Linked DNA regions of Astyanax mexicanus. The protein of the gene in region 2 interacts with the protein of the main gene of each other region in a pairwise test. Links are inferred from orthologs where the notes say so. Each region holds a gene or a part of one and is shown on either strand. Other genes may lie near its edges.

Region 1 (7,380 bases), on a different chromosome or scaffold from region 2:
TTGAAAAGCATCTTAGGAGTACACAATTTATCACAATGCTCTGAACACAGAAACAGCTAACTAGCGCTTAGCGTGGTTAGCAAGTAATGCTAATGTTGCTCTGGCAGTTCTAGCCGGGGTTAGCAGCAGGCTACGGTCCGAAATACTTACCTCTAAAACACGAAAGAGCTAATTAGCGCTTAGCTCAGTTAGTGGGTAATGTTAATGCTATCTGGAGCAGGCTACAGGCTGATAATACTACCTCTGAAAGGCGATAGAGCTAGTGCTTAGCACAGTTAGCAGGTAATGCTAATGCTGCTCCAGCAGTGAATTTGCAATGAGATTGCAAGTTCAATCCTTGGTCATACCACAACCATCCAGCCAAGAGAGTCCAAAAAAGAAAAATTGGCTTTGCTGTCTCTCCATCCATCATTCAGCTAAACGCAAGTGCAGGCATCTGTTAGCTGACATTACAGAACAGCTGTTAGTGTTCTCCTGCAAGTAAGTTCAGCTGCTAAATGACTGCAGACAGCAGATTAAATACAGCTTTATTTACAGTATATATCTGCAGAACTGGAGACAAAGGGGCCTTTCAGCAGACACTGACCTATAACACTAATATGTCCAAGGCCTGATGTTTCAGCCTTTGCCTGGAAAATATCGATATGTGATGCAGCTTTACCTGGGAAGTCCCTGTGATCATGTTCTTGATAAAATCTCTGTGACCTGGAGCATCTATGATGGTAATGTAGTATTTAGAAGTCTCAAATTTCCAGAGAGAGATGTCTATGGTGATGCCTCTCTCTCGCTCTGCCTTTAGCTTGTCCAATACCCAGGCATACTTAAAGGATCCTTTCCCCATCTGGACAGCAGACAAAAAATTGGAAAGTTTAAATTCAATAAGCATTTCTATTATATTATGAAAATCCTATGATAAAAGGTTTTTGTGCAACAGTGACAAGAAGAGAAAGTTTAAAGAAACAAATATCATTCTACAGTAGTAAACATTTGTTTAGCATATCTGTATTAATGTAATGCTGAGCATCATCCGTCATTTTAAAAGCTTTATATGTTTGAGATTTCCATTTTAACATTAATTTTAGTTTTTTTTTTTTATATCATATATTCAACTTGATCAAGGAAAAATGTTAAATTCTAATGGCTGTACTTGTGATTTTATCATTCAGCCAAAATCGTCATTGAACTTCTATACATTTTAGGTTTGTTTTTTTGTTGTTGTTTTTTTAATAGATGAACAGATTTTACCAGTATGAACTCGTCTGGTTTCTCAAAAAAAATCCTGAAGAATTTGATCCCTGATTAATCCAGAATTAGGTTTAATTCTCCTCTGGAAAACTAATTCTAACATCCTAATAATGTACTAATGAATACACAATCAAATAATAAGTTTTTTTTTTCCATTTTGACTACTTTCAAGAACCTTTTACATATGAAGAACTTTGTGATAAATACCCTTTTTTGATCTAATCAATACAAATAATTTACCATAGAAATGATTTTATTTACAGCTACAAAAACACTCCAGATTATCAATTTCTGATTGATTAAAAAAACAGTGTTTTAACAAAATGTTGATAAAAGGACATTTAGAAAGCAATATAATTTCAAATAAATCAAAACATGGTCAAATTAATACATATCTAAATTCTGAAATGTACATGTCTAATTAAGAGTATTTGAGTATCCTATGAACTATATGGGATGTAAATAATATAATCTTGTGTATGTATGACTGTCTTCTATAAACGAATAAATGCATAAAGGTATGACATACTATTAAAACACCCCACAAAACAAGGATTTAAACTTTTTAAGTTTTTAAGTCAGTTTTACGACACTCTGTCTGCCTGAAAATCCAATCATATATATTATAACTGACTTCTTTTTATTAGTAATGGCATTCTTTGGATATTTTGTATATATTTTGTTTTGCTCTTGCCTGTACAGAAACATGTTAACTGAAACATGTAATAGATCATCCTATAAATCATTTTTTACAGGTAGACACTCAGAAACTTTTTAAAGCACAAATTGCATGCCAAACCAGGGAGTGGTCTGGAGTTAAATAATACAGACTATATACACAGTGTTCCTATGTATCACAAACCAGCACAAACATGCCCATGAAAACACTGGTTGACTATTTTTTTTCAAACCAGGAATGCCAGTTCAAATACACAACCTATTGTTTTCTTTCTATATTCATTACTTTCAGTTTTCATCTCCAAGCCTGAAAACTTAGTAGGGCTACCACAGTAAACATAGAAGCTTCTGGAAAGTTAATATCTGTCTGTACCTCTGCAGCCTCCTTCTCAAATTTCTCGATGGTTCTCTTGTCAATGCCTCCACACTTATAGATGAGGTGACCGGTGGTGGTGGACTTCCCAGAGTCCACATGGCCAATCACAACAATATTAATGTGGATCTTTTCCTTCCCCATGATGAACAGAACACAGAGGGAAAGAAGAGAGAATGTTCCCACCCAGGGTTCCCCTGCTCTTCACAGACAGAATAAACAGCATTGCAGATTCATTATAAAACAAGATTAAAGCAGATTAATAAACTGTATCTAAACGTTTACATAAAGGAAATGTGATAAATGAATAGATATTAAAAAAAATATAGAAGAAGAAAAAAAATAAACAAACAAACACTCAGAGAAAGGCCGGAGAAACTACCTATAATGAATTCTGACTGCAGTGTAAACAGAAGCATAAACATAAACAGACAGATAGATGTCTTTGGGGTCTTACCTGCTGTAGCTGTGTGTTCAGGCAGCACAGCGTGTTCCCTCTGAACACCCTCTTTCTTCCTTAGCACTCCAACACAGGGGGGGTGGCAGGCTCTAAATCTGTCTGCGTAGTGAACGCACCCCACTTTGATACAGCAATGCGGCACTTTATGTGGGGAGGGAGGAGGGTAGGAGGGGGAGACAGAAGAGAGAGAGAGACAGAGGGAGACGAGAGAGATGCTGAAGCAGGGGATCTGCAAAGGCAGCAAGAGAAACCAAACAGAGAGGTGGGTGGGGGATGTATGCTGGGATGAAAGTTAGGAGAAAGGGAAGAAAAGGATGGGAGAAAACTCCAGCATCACACTGCAAGCCTGAGTGACTCAGCACATTCCTAAAGATTCCCTTGAGATTTAGAACATGTGTAATCATAATCATCAGGACTAAATCATAATACTGTGAGTTCCTCACATCTGTGGAAATCTGGCTGACACAATAGAATAGAATTAAGCATTTCAAGTTTTTATATATAAATACAGAGCGCTGGAAAAAGCAAAAGAGCACTACGTGTCTGAATCAATCAGTTACAAATACAAATATTGTCATTTAGAGCATTCATTTGCAAAAAATGAGAAATGGCTGAAATAACATAAAAAGGTGCAGAGCTTTCAGTCCTCAAACAATGCAAAGAAAACAAGTTCACATTCATAAAGTTTTAAGAGTTCAGAAATCAATATTTGGTGGAATAACCCTTGATTTTAATCACAGTTTGCATGCATCTTGCAATGTTCTCCTCCACCAGTCTTACACACTGCTTTTGGATAACTTTCTGCCACTCCTAGTCCAAAAACTCAGACAGATCATCCGTCTTCCGCTTGATTATATTCCAGAGGTTTTTAATTTGGTAAAATCAACTCATCATTTTTACGTGGTCTCTTATTTTTTTCCTGAGCTGTATACACAGTCCAAGTAGAATATTATGACATTGTTTCTACGATCTTTGTCAGTCTTGTCAGCTGAAGTCTGCTGTTTACTACAGCCCATTTGTTTCTCTGCATTCAGTGTTATACTTCTTTCACCCTGGTGGGTCATCCTTCAGGCAGCTTTGCAGTGTTGTGCTGCAGGCATGAGTGGATCGGACACAGCAGTGCTGCTGGAGTTTTTAAACTCTTCACTTCTGGAATGAAATTAGTCCACCAACCGGAAACAGTAGCTGGGTAGCGATATCCAATAGAGTGGACAGTAAAAAAAAGCAGCACTGCAGTGTCTAATCCAACATATACTACATTAGAACAACATACACCAGCACACCACAGATGTTGGTGTAGAACCGGCACTGACAGGAAGGTCAATTTATAGTACAGACAGATAATGCCTCAACACACAGTGCAGTCATTCTTTTAAGTTGATCAAGTTTATTAAATTAAAGACAGAAAGATCCACCCAAAAGGCAACAGAAAGGCCTGGTAAAGCATCTTAGGGAGGCAACTCAGTATTTGGAACAATTTGGGCCAATTTATGAATGAATTAATGAGTCAGCGACTTGGGGAATAAGCCTAGTTTTAGAACATTGTGTTTACGAAAGAAAATCTCCATTCAAAATGGAATATACAAAAGGTTATGCAGCTTAATCCCTGTTGGGGCAACCCGCCCAGAAATGTCAAACACTCAAAACTTTGCAGGTCCTTTGAAGGTCTTCATGTCACCTTAATTTTTAGAGCAATAGGGTTGTAATGGTATGTGTCTTGGTACCAAACCACCATGCAATGGGGGTGCACAAGCCAAACGTCAACATAAAGATGCAATGCATGGGATTATGGGAACTGTAGTGGATTTAGGAGCATTGCTATTGTAACTGTATTTTTCTATACACTTGCTGTGTGCACAGAAGGATTTATTTGGTATTTTAACCTGCTTATTCCTCACCTTTCTCTGCGACATTCTGACCTTTTACCATCTAATTTGACATTATGATGGATCAGCCAAGGAGGAAGTAATTGTGATGCTGGACAGTGTGTGTGTGTGTGTGTGGAAAGACATTAAACATCCTTAATCCATTTTTTACTGCTAAATTAATACAGTACAGGCTGACAGACTGACTACCTCAAGCCAGACTATATAGCACTAGGCAGAACTAACTTCATAAGAACTAACATGATAAGAAACTAGAAACCTAGACTATATTTTATTTTTTTCTTTGTACTGAGCTTGTACGGAACAATGAGGTCCAACCTGTGGTACAAACTAAACCATGGTACAAACTAATCCATGAATTTTGTGTACCATTACACAAGCATACTGTAGACAGTGAGTGCGTTTACATGCACTTTATAATTCAATTATTATGATCAGTGTTTACATAAAGTTACTGTTAACAGTTACTGTAACAGATACTGTTAAAATTCATTAGTTTAAAAAAAGTAAAGCCATAATTAGATTTTTGCTTTGCAATCAACTCAAATTTACAAAATAACAGGTGATAAACATCATGTAAATCTTTATCATAAAAACATACAATAGATAGAAGATTAAGAATATTGAAATCTGTTTGGGTTCAGCATTGCGCAAATGTGTTTTGTCGTCATCTCACTGGAGATGTTTTAAAGCTGCTGGCTTATTTCTGGTACCACAAGTTTACATGCACTGAAAAATACAATTGCTGAGCAAAAATCCAGCTCTCTTTAACAGATGATAGCATCAGACTCAGACTCTAAGACCTCAGTTCTAAGAAATTAAAGTATACTGTTTATATGACTACTTCAATAATTCGATTTTAACTTCAGTAACCTATTATTGAACATGCATGTAAAAACACTCAGTGTCTTTAGGTTACAGATCAGTGAATCGCCTGGATCTGCACCAGCACCCATCAAAAAGCCTCTGCACCCATATCTTTCTTCCAAAACACAACATAACTCACGCTGATACTTAAGTACAGTCTGATTTAATAAAAGGCTTTGCACCTTTTAAAACAAGAGCAGTAAATAAATACAGTAAAACATTATGGTTGTAAAATCACATTTCACCTTAACATGTAATGTAACATCTTTATTACCAATGAATTTGACTTTTGAATTTGAACCGTCACAGATGGGAAAATAAAAATACTAGCTTTACTGTATGACGGACATAAATGACCACTAGGTATGATTCCTCAAACAGAGGCTGCATTTCTTTATGTACTAAGAATTCATCCCTATCTGACCAATGATGATGATACCATCATAGACCCTGTATTTAACTGTTTCCAACAAAGCAATTCTTCCCCACATCTTCGTACTGCAGCAGTTCAATCAAAAGACATTTTCAGGTAAGTCTCAATGAGTCCAACAACAAACTACGTTAAAAAAAAATATAATAAAAAATAAAAAAAAGAATCAATTATCGTCTGCCTCTAACCTTCCATATGAGCAACATCATGGAAGCAAGTTCCCACTGCTCATCAATTACTTAAACTTTTTTTTCTAGATTTCTTCTAGAAAACGCTCAACACATGTGAAGTACTAGAGCTTCCTCTCATCAGTGTGAGCTTCAGCTCTAAGCTTAAATGCTGGAACATCTAACAATATCTCCTCAGATCTTTCCTCTTTAACCTTAGCTGAGCAGCAGATCAGGCCAGAGTACACCGTTTCTTCCAGTCTCATCCAGCCAGAGTCTCCATGTGCCACCAGTCTGCAGGTCGCCCGTTGTTGGCCGTGTTTACGTCCTGCGGCGCTTGGTTCCTCCAGGACTGGACGGGTTGCCGGAGCTCTGCGTTTTGTCCGTGGCCCGGCTCCTCTTCCTTTTCTCGCCTGTGGCCTCCTTCGATCCTCCACCCGACTCACCCGAGGCCCCCCTCTCCCTGTCTCTCTCTTTCTCTCGCCCGCTGCCCGAGCGCTCTGTCTTTACTGAGGAATTGCTGCCTGATAAATCAGAAACGGAGAGGGACAAAAAGAAGGAGAGGGAGAAAGAAAGACAGTGACATTTTAGATACGTTTTGAATTTAAGGGAAATAATGTACATTTTACTTAGAAAGAATACTCCACCAGAACATTTTGATTTGTGAAAGACTCCTCCAACCACGTAGGGTTGGGTGATATGGTAAGAATACTGTATCATGATATTTAAAAACAGTTTCACGATACATGGGATTCATCACAATATTTTGACACAAACTAATTGTGTCACTAGCAGCAGATTCTTAAAACCTCTTAAACTTTTAAAAACTGTTACAGAGTTATACAGTTTTAGCACTGCCAATTTCCACAATATGCTATATAATTATTTAGTGTATTACAAATCTAAAGAGGTTAAATTCACGATTTATCATTACTTTGGTGGAATATGCTTTTAAGTTTAATTTCTTTTCCAAATTCATAAATACACAGGCCTACACAAGCAATATGAAGCTGCTCATCCTTTTCTTCACATTAGACACGTAGGAGAAAACTGAACAACAGGCATTTACTTCCCAAGCTTTAAGATGATTACAGATTGTTGCAATAACCTGGCATATAACAAAATAAGAAAAGATCAATTTCTGGTCCAAATAAATGTTTGGTCCAAATCCTGACATTACTTTTATGGGTTTGTGTGGGCTTGAATTGGAGGAGTTATCATTAGATGTGTTACAGTAAGAGTTCAATAATTAGCTCACTAATTATATTATAAAA
Region 2 (8,229 bases):
TTTCAGTAATTCGGTTGAAATATGAAACTCTTCTTTTATTGTTGATGATTATGGCTTACAGTCAATGAAAACCCAAAAATCAGCGTCTCAGAAAATTAGAATATTATGTAAGACCAATTAGTACTTTTAGCAGTGTGGGCAGTGTGCCAAGTCCTGCTGGAAAATGAAATCCACATCTCTATAAAAGTTGTCAGTAGCAGAGGGAAGCTGTAAGATATGAAGTGCTGTTGTAAGATTTTGTGGGAAAACAAAACTGCACTGACTTTAGACTTGATAATAAAACACAGTGGATCAACACCAGCAGATGACAGACATGTCTCTTTATCCAAACCATCACTGATTGGTGGAAACTTCACACTAGACCTCAAGCAGCTTGAACTGTTTGTCTCTCCACTCTTCCTCCAGATTTTTTACTGATTTTACTGATGGTCAGTGACGGTTTGGTGAGCCATCTCATCTGCTAGTGAATAATAATACAGGTTGCTGTCCCAGGACTTTTGGCACATGAATATACTTCAATTCTCTACTATAAAATTCCAGCAACTGATGAAATAGACAGTGTTTTTCAGTAATAACACACTTTAGATTTTTGAATGTATAATTACAAAAGAGAATACATTAATAGCCACTATTAATGATAAACATTTCAAAATTAAAATTAGTAAACAAATAGAACTAAAAACATTTATTTACATGAATCACCAAAAACACACATTTTATACTTTGTAACTCTACAACAGTCTAACTACAAACTACAAATATAAAAACAGCACAATTACAGTGTAATGGATATTTACCGTTGGCCAGTAGATACTGCACCAACTCCTCGTGTCCGCAGAGGCACGCATAGTACCTTCATTCACACCAAGACACAAGGCACATTCAGCTGAGTCCACAGCAGCTACACGGAAATCAAAATACATTTAATACAGAGGAATCAATTCTGACTCACAGAGGTGTACTGTCCCATTTATCTCTCACGTTCAATTCCACATCTCTCTGTTCAACCAGGTATCTGAGCAAGAAAGAGAGAGAAAAAGAACGAGAGAGAACATTAATTAGGCAATAAATAAATATATATATTATATAATATAATTATATATATATATATATATATATATATATATATATATTACAAGAAATACATCACTGTTATGAAAAAAAAAACAACGCAAATTTCACAGTAGATAAAAAATCCTAATTCACTTTCAATGAAAGTCAAAGCACAAGTTAAGTCACAAATTATATTCCAAGTCATTTTTAAATATTTCTATTGGTCCATTCATCATGAAATTTTGATACAATATTTAACTATAAATATATAACCACAAAAATGGAGATACAACGTTTATACAACGTAAATGAGATATATTTTTTTATATTTATATTAGGAATTAATATTAATAACATAAACAAAAAATTAAATGACATAATAATGTTTTAAAGGGATCATGTTCACCACATTTTACTGCACTGTACTATTTACCCTAATATCCAATTAAAACAATGGTGAAAATTTAATAATCATCATCATAACTTTAACAATGTTTACCATAGGGGTTTCAGAAAAAGTGTGTTATATATAATATAATGTTTTGCAATATTTAACAATCTGAACGAAAAAATTATTGATCTTTTTGTGTTTCAATCCCAACCATTAGAAAGCAGTGGTATACAGTATCCCATTCTTTTGATAGGATATGCAGATTTTACACACATAATATTGATGTTTTTCCTACATAACAGTTTAAATAATTATTTATTTAAAAAATTGCCAGTATCGTATTGCTAACAGTATCACAGTCTGCATCTGAGTCTAGTATTGTTTATAGTTCTCATAATATAAAACCCCTGGTTTGATAAATCAGTGTATAATGATGTTAAATTAGATTAGCTGCTGATGGAATTGAACACATCCAATGCTTCATATGCTTCACATATGCATCTGTCAGAAACTTGTAAAACACTCTTTTATGTGACAGTGATTTTCATACTTTAAACTTTTCCTTAACTGAAGTACATAAAGGTTATGTTTGCACTGCGTTTAATATAAAAACTGCATGTAAGGTTAAAGGGGGCTGCTTACTATTTTTTTATTAAATGTAAAGGAAAAACAGCTTGCGCATCACTTTAAATTGTGCTGTTTGTTTTCAAAAAAAAAAAAAAGTTAAGAATTAGTAGTAATGTATTATCACACTTATGATGCACGTTTATGCAAGTTTCAAAAATCAATAACAACTCTGGAAACATAACGAGACCACTTCAGTTCCTGAATTAGCTTCTCTGATTTTATTCTATAAACTATGGACAACTTTTTTCCAAAATTTCAAAGAAAAATATTGTCAGTTAGAGCATTTATTTGCAGAAAATAAGAAATGTCTAAAAAAAAAAGATGCAGAGCTTTCAGACCTTAAATAATGCAAAGACAACAAGTTTATATTCATAAAGTTTTAGGATATCAGAAATCAATATTTGGTGGAATAACCCTGGTGGTTTATAATCACAGTTTTTTTTTCATGCATCTTGGGATCATGTTCTCCTCCATCAGTCTTACACACTGCTTTTGGATAACTTTATGCTGCTTTACTCATGTTGCACAAATTCAAGCAGTTAATCTTGGTTTGATGCCTTGTGATCATCCATCTTCCTCTTGATTATATTCCAAAGGTTTTTTATTTGATTAAAAAAAAAAAGAAACTTTAGCTACCTAACGTTACTTACTTTTAAAGGGTTAAGTTTGTTTACTAACGGAGTGTACAGTATGTGCTACTCTGCACCATAATTAACTCCCTGAACTAACCTCCTGAACATGTATTAACACTGTTACCAGTTTATATAATGCCCTCACTAAAATAACAACTACAATACCAGAGTCAGGGATGATAAAAATACTGATATATATCTATATATTTAGTTTAAATAGCGGCTGCAGAAGTTTAGCCCGGAGTACAGACCTCACTCTCGCAACGTCGCCCTTCCTGCAGCTCGAAAACAGATCGTTTGCGTCCATAGCGGCGATAAAGCGGCTCTGAAAGGCATTGAACCGGCCTGCCTGGAGGACGGGGCGGAGAGCAGGCGCTGGGCGGCGGGTTAGTGAAGAAAACTCGGCTGGGTCGCGGCTCTGGAGGCCCTGCTGCTCGCTGTCACTGCGCTCCGCTGTTTTGACGAAATTTCTCTCAGACGTAAACAACAGTCCTCCGCCACCATAGAGTTTCCCCACAGGCTGAGACCCTCTGCCGCCCCCTCCGGAGGAAGGTGGTACTGCAGGTCTGCGCCCAGTAAGTTAATATAAAAAAAAGTTAATTGATTTTTCCCCTAATATTCCTTAAAATTGTTCTAGGAAATAACCCTTTAAATCTTCTTTTAAAAATTGAACTTTACTAAGTACTCCCTTAAGTGTTACATAAAGTCGCTTACCAGTCTATTCCGTTAGAAGCCGCAAAAAATAATGAGATTTAATAATGAGAATAATGAGATTTTAAACTTATATTTATAGATTCATTAGGCAGTACACGTTAGTTGAATTAAGGCGATTTATTTTTTATTTACTTTTTAAAAAGTAATACTTTCAACGCTTCTCTCTAAATTAGCATAAATATCGCTACAAAATCTAGCAACAAAACCTCTAAATTTGCATAAAAGATGCTAAATCTAGTGACGAATTTTATATAAAATATATTAAAATATATATTAAAAAACCCAAACCTCCCCTTAACTCCCGAAAACCTTTTTATATTAATAAAAAAAATTAAACCTATATTAATTCAATAATTAGGCAGGATTGCAAAAGTATGACAAACTTACGTGTTTATACACGTAACATATACACATCAGTTAATATAATTTTTATTCACTTTTTCAAAATAATACTTTAAATGCTTCTCACTCAATCTACCAACAAATAGTTGCTAAATCTAGTGACAAAATCTTTAAACTAGCAAAAAAGTTAGCTAAATTCCTAGTGACACAATTTCTAAATTAGCAGAGAAGTAGCATATTGATGTTATTTATTACAGGGTGGACGCAAGAAATAAAAAGTAAAAAATTAAAAAAAATAAAAATAAGTAAAAAATAAAGGTGATTAAGTTTAAAAAGAGGATTTTTTTTTGTTTTGAAGCCCAATTAGCACAGTTTTTTTGTTTTTCTCATACTGTTTGAGTAAAATATTATTAAGACTGTCTGAATAAAACTAACCCCTTTTCTGACTTGTAGTAAAAGACACTTGCAGTTCTCTTAAGTGACCAGCAGGGAGCGTACAATCATCAATCATATCCTAATACAGCATGAAGCGCACTGGGCCTCTTGATCAAATCATGTCAAGTAGTTTTATTGTCAATACTGCGTGATATTGTGTTATAATAAAGAGATAATAGACTTAATACAGAAAAATAAAAATATATTCGCAGGGCGAGGGGAAGATTGCTGTATTTCTTTCTTAAAATATGTTTCATGATCTAATTTCAGAGCTAAAAACCAATAACTTTGTACCGTCATGTTTAGAGGTGGTGGGACTGGGACCTGGTTTAGGGGTGCTTGTGCCCCTCTAAAAAAGAGCTAGCAACTATTGTTCAGCACCTCCAGGAACTCCTTCAAGAAAACCATTCCAGGTGATTCTATCTCAAAAAGACACTGAGATTAAAATATATTAAAAAGAGTGTGTAAATCTGTCACCAAGGCTAAATGTATAAGACATATTCTGGTTTAAAACAATACTTCAATACTAGCTTTAATATAGTCTTCAATATTAAAATCACAAAGAAAAAAATACAAAACACATTGAATGAGAAGAGGTGTGTCCAAACTTTTGACTGGTATTGTAGGTGAAGTTTTTGGCACAACAGGAGAAGATCAGAGCGTGCAGGTGGCTCAGAGGTGGTTGGACAGGTCTGGACAGCAAATTAGCAGAAACATCTGACCTGACAGATTTCTCGAAACTGACAGCAGCTTTAAAGAACCATTAAACTTTAAACAATATGTTTTTGGTTAATGGACAAAATGTGTTCATTTGTTCAATGTGTTCATTCCAGTCCTGCTTACAAATTTTTATTTCCTAACTTTTCCTAACCTAAACTATAAAAACTATAAAACTTTTATTGTGATCATTTCTGCCTCTGCAGCGCCCCCTCAGGTTCAACTGTGCTATTATAGGCGAGAATGATGTGTCCGTATACTTTGGTACGCGCACACATCACAATAGGCAGATTATTTAATCAATCAATAGTACTGCCCCCCCTGTTGATGCCCAACCAAACACAGAGCCAATCAGCTCTCCCTCCTGAGAGCTGCCTCGCCTCGCCCACTGGGTGATGTATGGGTTTAGAGACGAGGGTGATGTATGGGTTTAGAGGCGAGGCAGGAGGGACCCTCCCAAACTATTCCTCCCCTTTTTTTTTGCCTTTTTTAAATTTGAGCTGAGGGTGGGAGTGTTGGGGTTGCGGTTATCAGTTCAAACTTTATTGGAAATCCTGGAAATCTATTAGAGAAAACAGACAGGAAGCTAAATATTTAATATGAGTACTCTAAGTATATTAGGCAGGTTCTTCGAATAGCAGACGGCAGCATCAGTAGATCATCAGATACCTGTGAACCAAAACATGCCAGCTCACAACACTGGTACAGAACTCTGACATCAGCAGTCTCTACTACTGAGATTACATCAGGACTGGAAGAGTTCCCAGACACACAGTGTGTGGGTGTGGGTGTGTGTGTGTTCATGTGTGTAAGCATGCATCCCTGATGAATACATGAATGTACAGTATGTGTGTGAGCTGAGCTCTGCTATCAGTTGTTAAACTTGTTTTTCCATCTGAAGAATGTGCATACCTCCAAACACACACACACACACAAAAACACACACACACACACACCCCGGCTAAGTATATATATGTTGTCAGTCCAGGACTCCACACACCTCCAATTATCACACTCCACCATACTCTACAGTCCTCAACAGTCTTCCTCAGCTCTGCAGTCATGAGTAGTCGGGTCAGCAGCAGCAGGTCCAGTGTGCGGAGCTTCAGCAGCAGTTCTCTGGGCTCGTATCCCCGGGCTGGAGCGACCATTCCCCGCACTGGAACCTCATATTTTGGCTTTGGGGATGCTCCAGCGCAGAGCCTGCCTGTTAGGGCCGTAACTGTGGACAGGAACCTGCTGACCCCCATGCAGCTGGACCTGGACCCTGACCTGCATGCGGTCAGACTGCAGGAGAAGGAGCAGATCAAAACACTCAACAACCAGTTCGCCTCCTACATCGACAAGGTGAGAGAGCTAGCCAAGTGTGTTTTACCCTGTATACTTAAAAGACTATTAAGGATTATATTTTTATAGTGATTCATAACATGATCAGAATGTAGATCAGGATGTATCATCAGAAATTAAGGAAACATGCTGAGTTTAAGCACCAACAGCTTATGTCAGCAGAGTTTCAGCCAGTATTTTAGTACTATATACTGTTTAGTATGGGTTGTAGACTTTTTTCTGCTGAACAGATCAGTAATCAGTAATCAATTTTCAAGACGTTCTCCATCAAACCTGGCTAAGCTTGAGCTGTTTTATAAAGAAGAATGGGCAAAAATCTCTAGTCTCTAGATGCGCAAAACTGGTAGAGACAAACCCCAAAGCACTTACTGTTATAATTGCAGCGAATGGTGGCTCTAGTAAATATTGATATAGGACTTTTAGGATGTGCTACTAATGTCTTGTCTTGATACTACAGGACACATTTAAAGGTCTTGTAAAATCCAACTTAGTGGATGAGAGGGATCTACACAATATGGTGGTTTTAATGTTATGGCTGATTTAAGTAAGTAACTAACAGACGATATTGCAATGTCTTCTCATTTTAACTATAGATGGTTGCTTTAATGTATTTTATTTAGTTATTGCTGGTCATGGATGGAGGGAAATTAAAATTTTATTTAAACAGCTCGTTTTCAGCTTATTTATGTTATAAATGACCTGTAACTGACATTATTTTAACTTTTAATGATTAATAACAAAAGCATCCTCACCAAGGTGTCTCTAATCATCACATCAGAGAAAAAAAAGGTCAACCAGGAGCTTCACACTATCTGTTAACATCTCTCATCTTTTATCATATCTCTCTTTCTCTCAGGTGCGCCACCTGGAGCAGCAGAATAAGTTATTGGAGACAAAGTGGAAGTTGCTGAATGGTGAGACGCGCAAGGACTCCAGGTTGGAGCCCATGATGAAGAATTATATCAGCACCCTGCAGGCCCAGCTGGACACCCTTAACAGAGACAAGGATCGGCTGGACGCTGAACTCCACAGCACCCACCAGCTGGTGGAGGACAACCAAAACAGGTTAGGCCCCCCTTAACAATCTATAGTGTGATTAAAAAGTCCATTTACATGTCCAAGTACTGGATAGTATTGCTAACACAGTTAATACAGTAGCAAAGGGTCATACACAGGAAATCCAAAAGATAAAGGTAATTCAATACCCAGCGAGGAGCTACTAAAAAAAACAAAGGGTTTATACACTAAAAGAACTAGGTGTGGGCAATCAGAAGCTCAGAGAGCTCGAGCCCTGTAGTGTCACATGATCAGCAGGGTCCTAAAAGGTCCAGTGTGATTGCATGCTGGGAAAAATGACAGTTTTTATCAGATAATTTGTGTTGCTCTATCACTTAAAATCTCAATAAAATAAATTTAAGTTTGTGGTTGTAAGGTGACAAAATATGAAAAGTTTCAAGAGTCAAAATAAAGCACAATATCATAATGTCAGTCAGTTATTACAAAAGTTATATATATATATAACTTATATATAACAAAAGTGACCCTATATAATCCTTTCATTGTCTATCCTCTCATGCAGTTGATAATGTGCCATAACATTATTGTATGATAATATAGATGCATGCATGGCAGGAAATAAAACATGAAAACATAAAAAAACTGAAAAAGTAAAAAATATAATTTCTGTGTTGTCTGAGGTCATATAAATATGATTCAAAACAATAAACCGTTTTCACAGAGCACTCACGTTTTTATTTAGCCTTCACTTAGCAGCACAGCTAACATGTCAGAATAGCCTCCAGCATTGATAAAAGGATGCTTTCACATCAACAAGTATGGAAGTGTGACAATGGTCAATTAAAAATCAAAACTAAAAAATATTAAAGTATTTTGATTATTTTAGGTCCCTCTGTCATTAACTGAGTGCAATTTCAGCTGCTTTAGGTTGCACCACTTGCTGATCAGTGTAAA

What was found.
Region 1: the proteins of abtb1 (region 2) and eef1a2 interact in binary tests that used the Homo sapiens proteins (3 or more experiments, as listed by UniProt). The two-hybrid records come from large-scale screens. The link is inferred for Astyanax mexicanus from reciprocal best matches to the Homo sapiens genes ABTB1 and EEF1A2.

What each region holds. Positions count from the first base shown.
Region 1 is NC_064420.1:29,049,102-29,056,481, reverse strand, and holds the start of eef1a2 (elongation factor 1-alpha 2), read right to left. Parts: upstream 3,015-7,380; 5' UTR 2,754-3,014; intron 2,499-2,753; exon of another isoform or gene 2,494-2,498; 5' UTR 2,441-2,493; coding exon 2,297-2,440; intron 842-2,296; coding exon 662-841; intron 1-661. Other genes in the region: MRG/MORF4L-binding protein, read right to left, coding at 6,428-6,630. UniProt on the Homo sapiens protein: Translation elongation factor that catalyzes the GTP-dependent binding of aminoacyl-tRNA (aa-tRNA) to the A-site of ribosomes during the elongation phase of protein synthesis.
Region 2 is NC_064419.1:3,833,374-3,841,602, reverse strand, and holds the start of abtb1 (ankyrin repeat and BTB/POZ domain-containing protein 1), read right to left. Parts: upstream 3,223-8,229; 5' UTR 3,011-3,222; coding exon 2,955-3,010; intron 1,016-2,954; coding exon 953-1,015; intron 854-952; coding exon 798-853; intron 1-797. Other genes in the region: si:dkey-222n6.2 (keratin, type II cytoskeletal cochleal), read left to right, coding at 5,974-6,258, 7,115-7,323. UniProt on the Homo sapiens protein: May act as a mediator of the PTEN growth-suppressive signaling pathway. May play a role in developmental processes.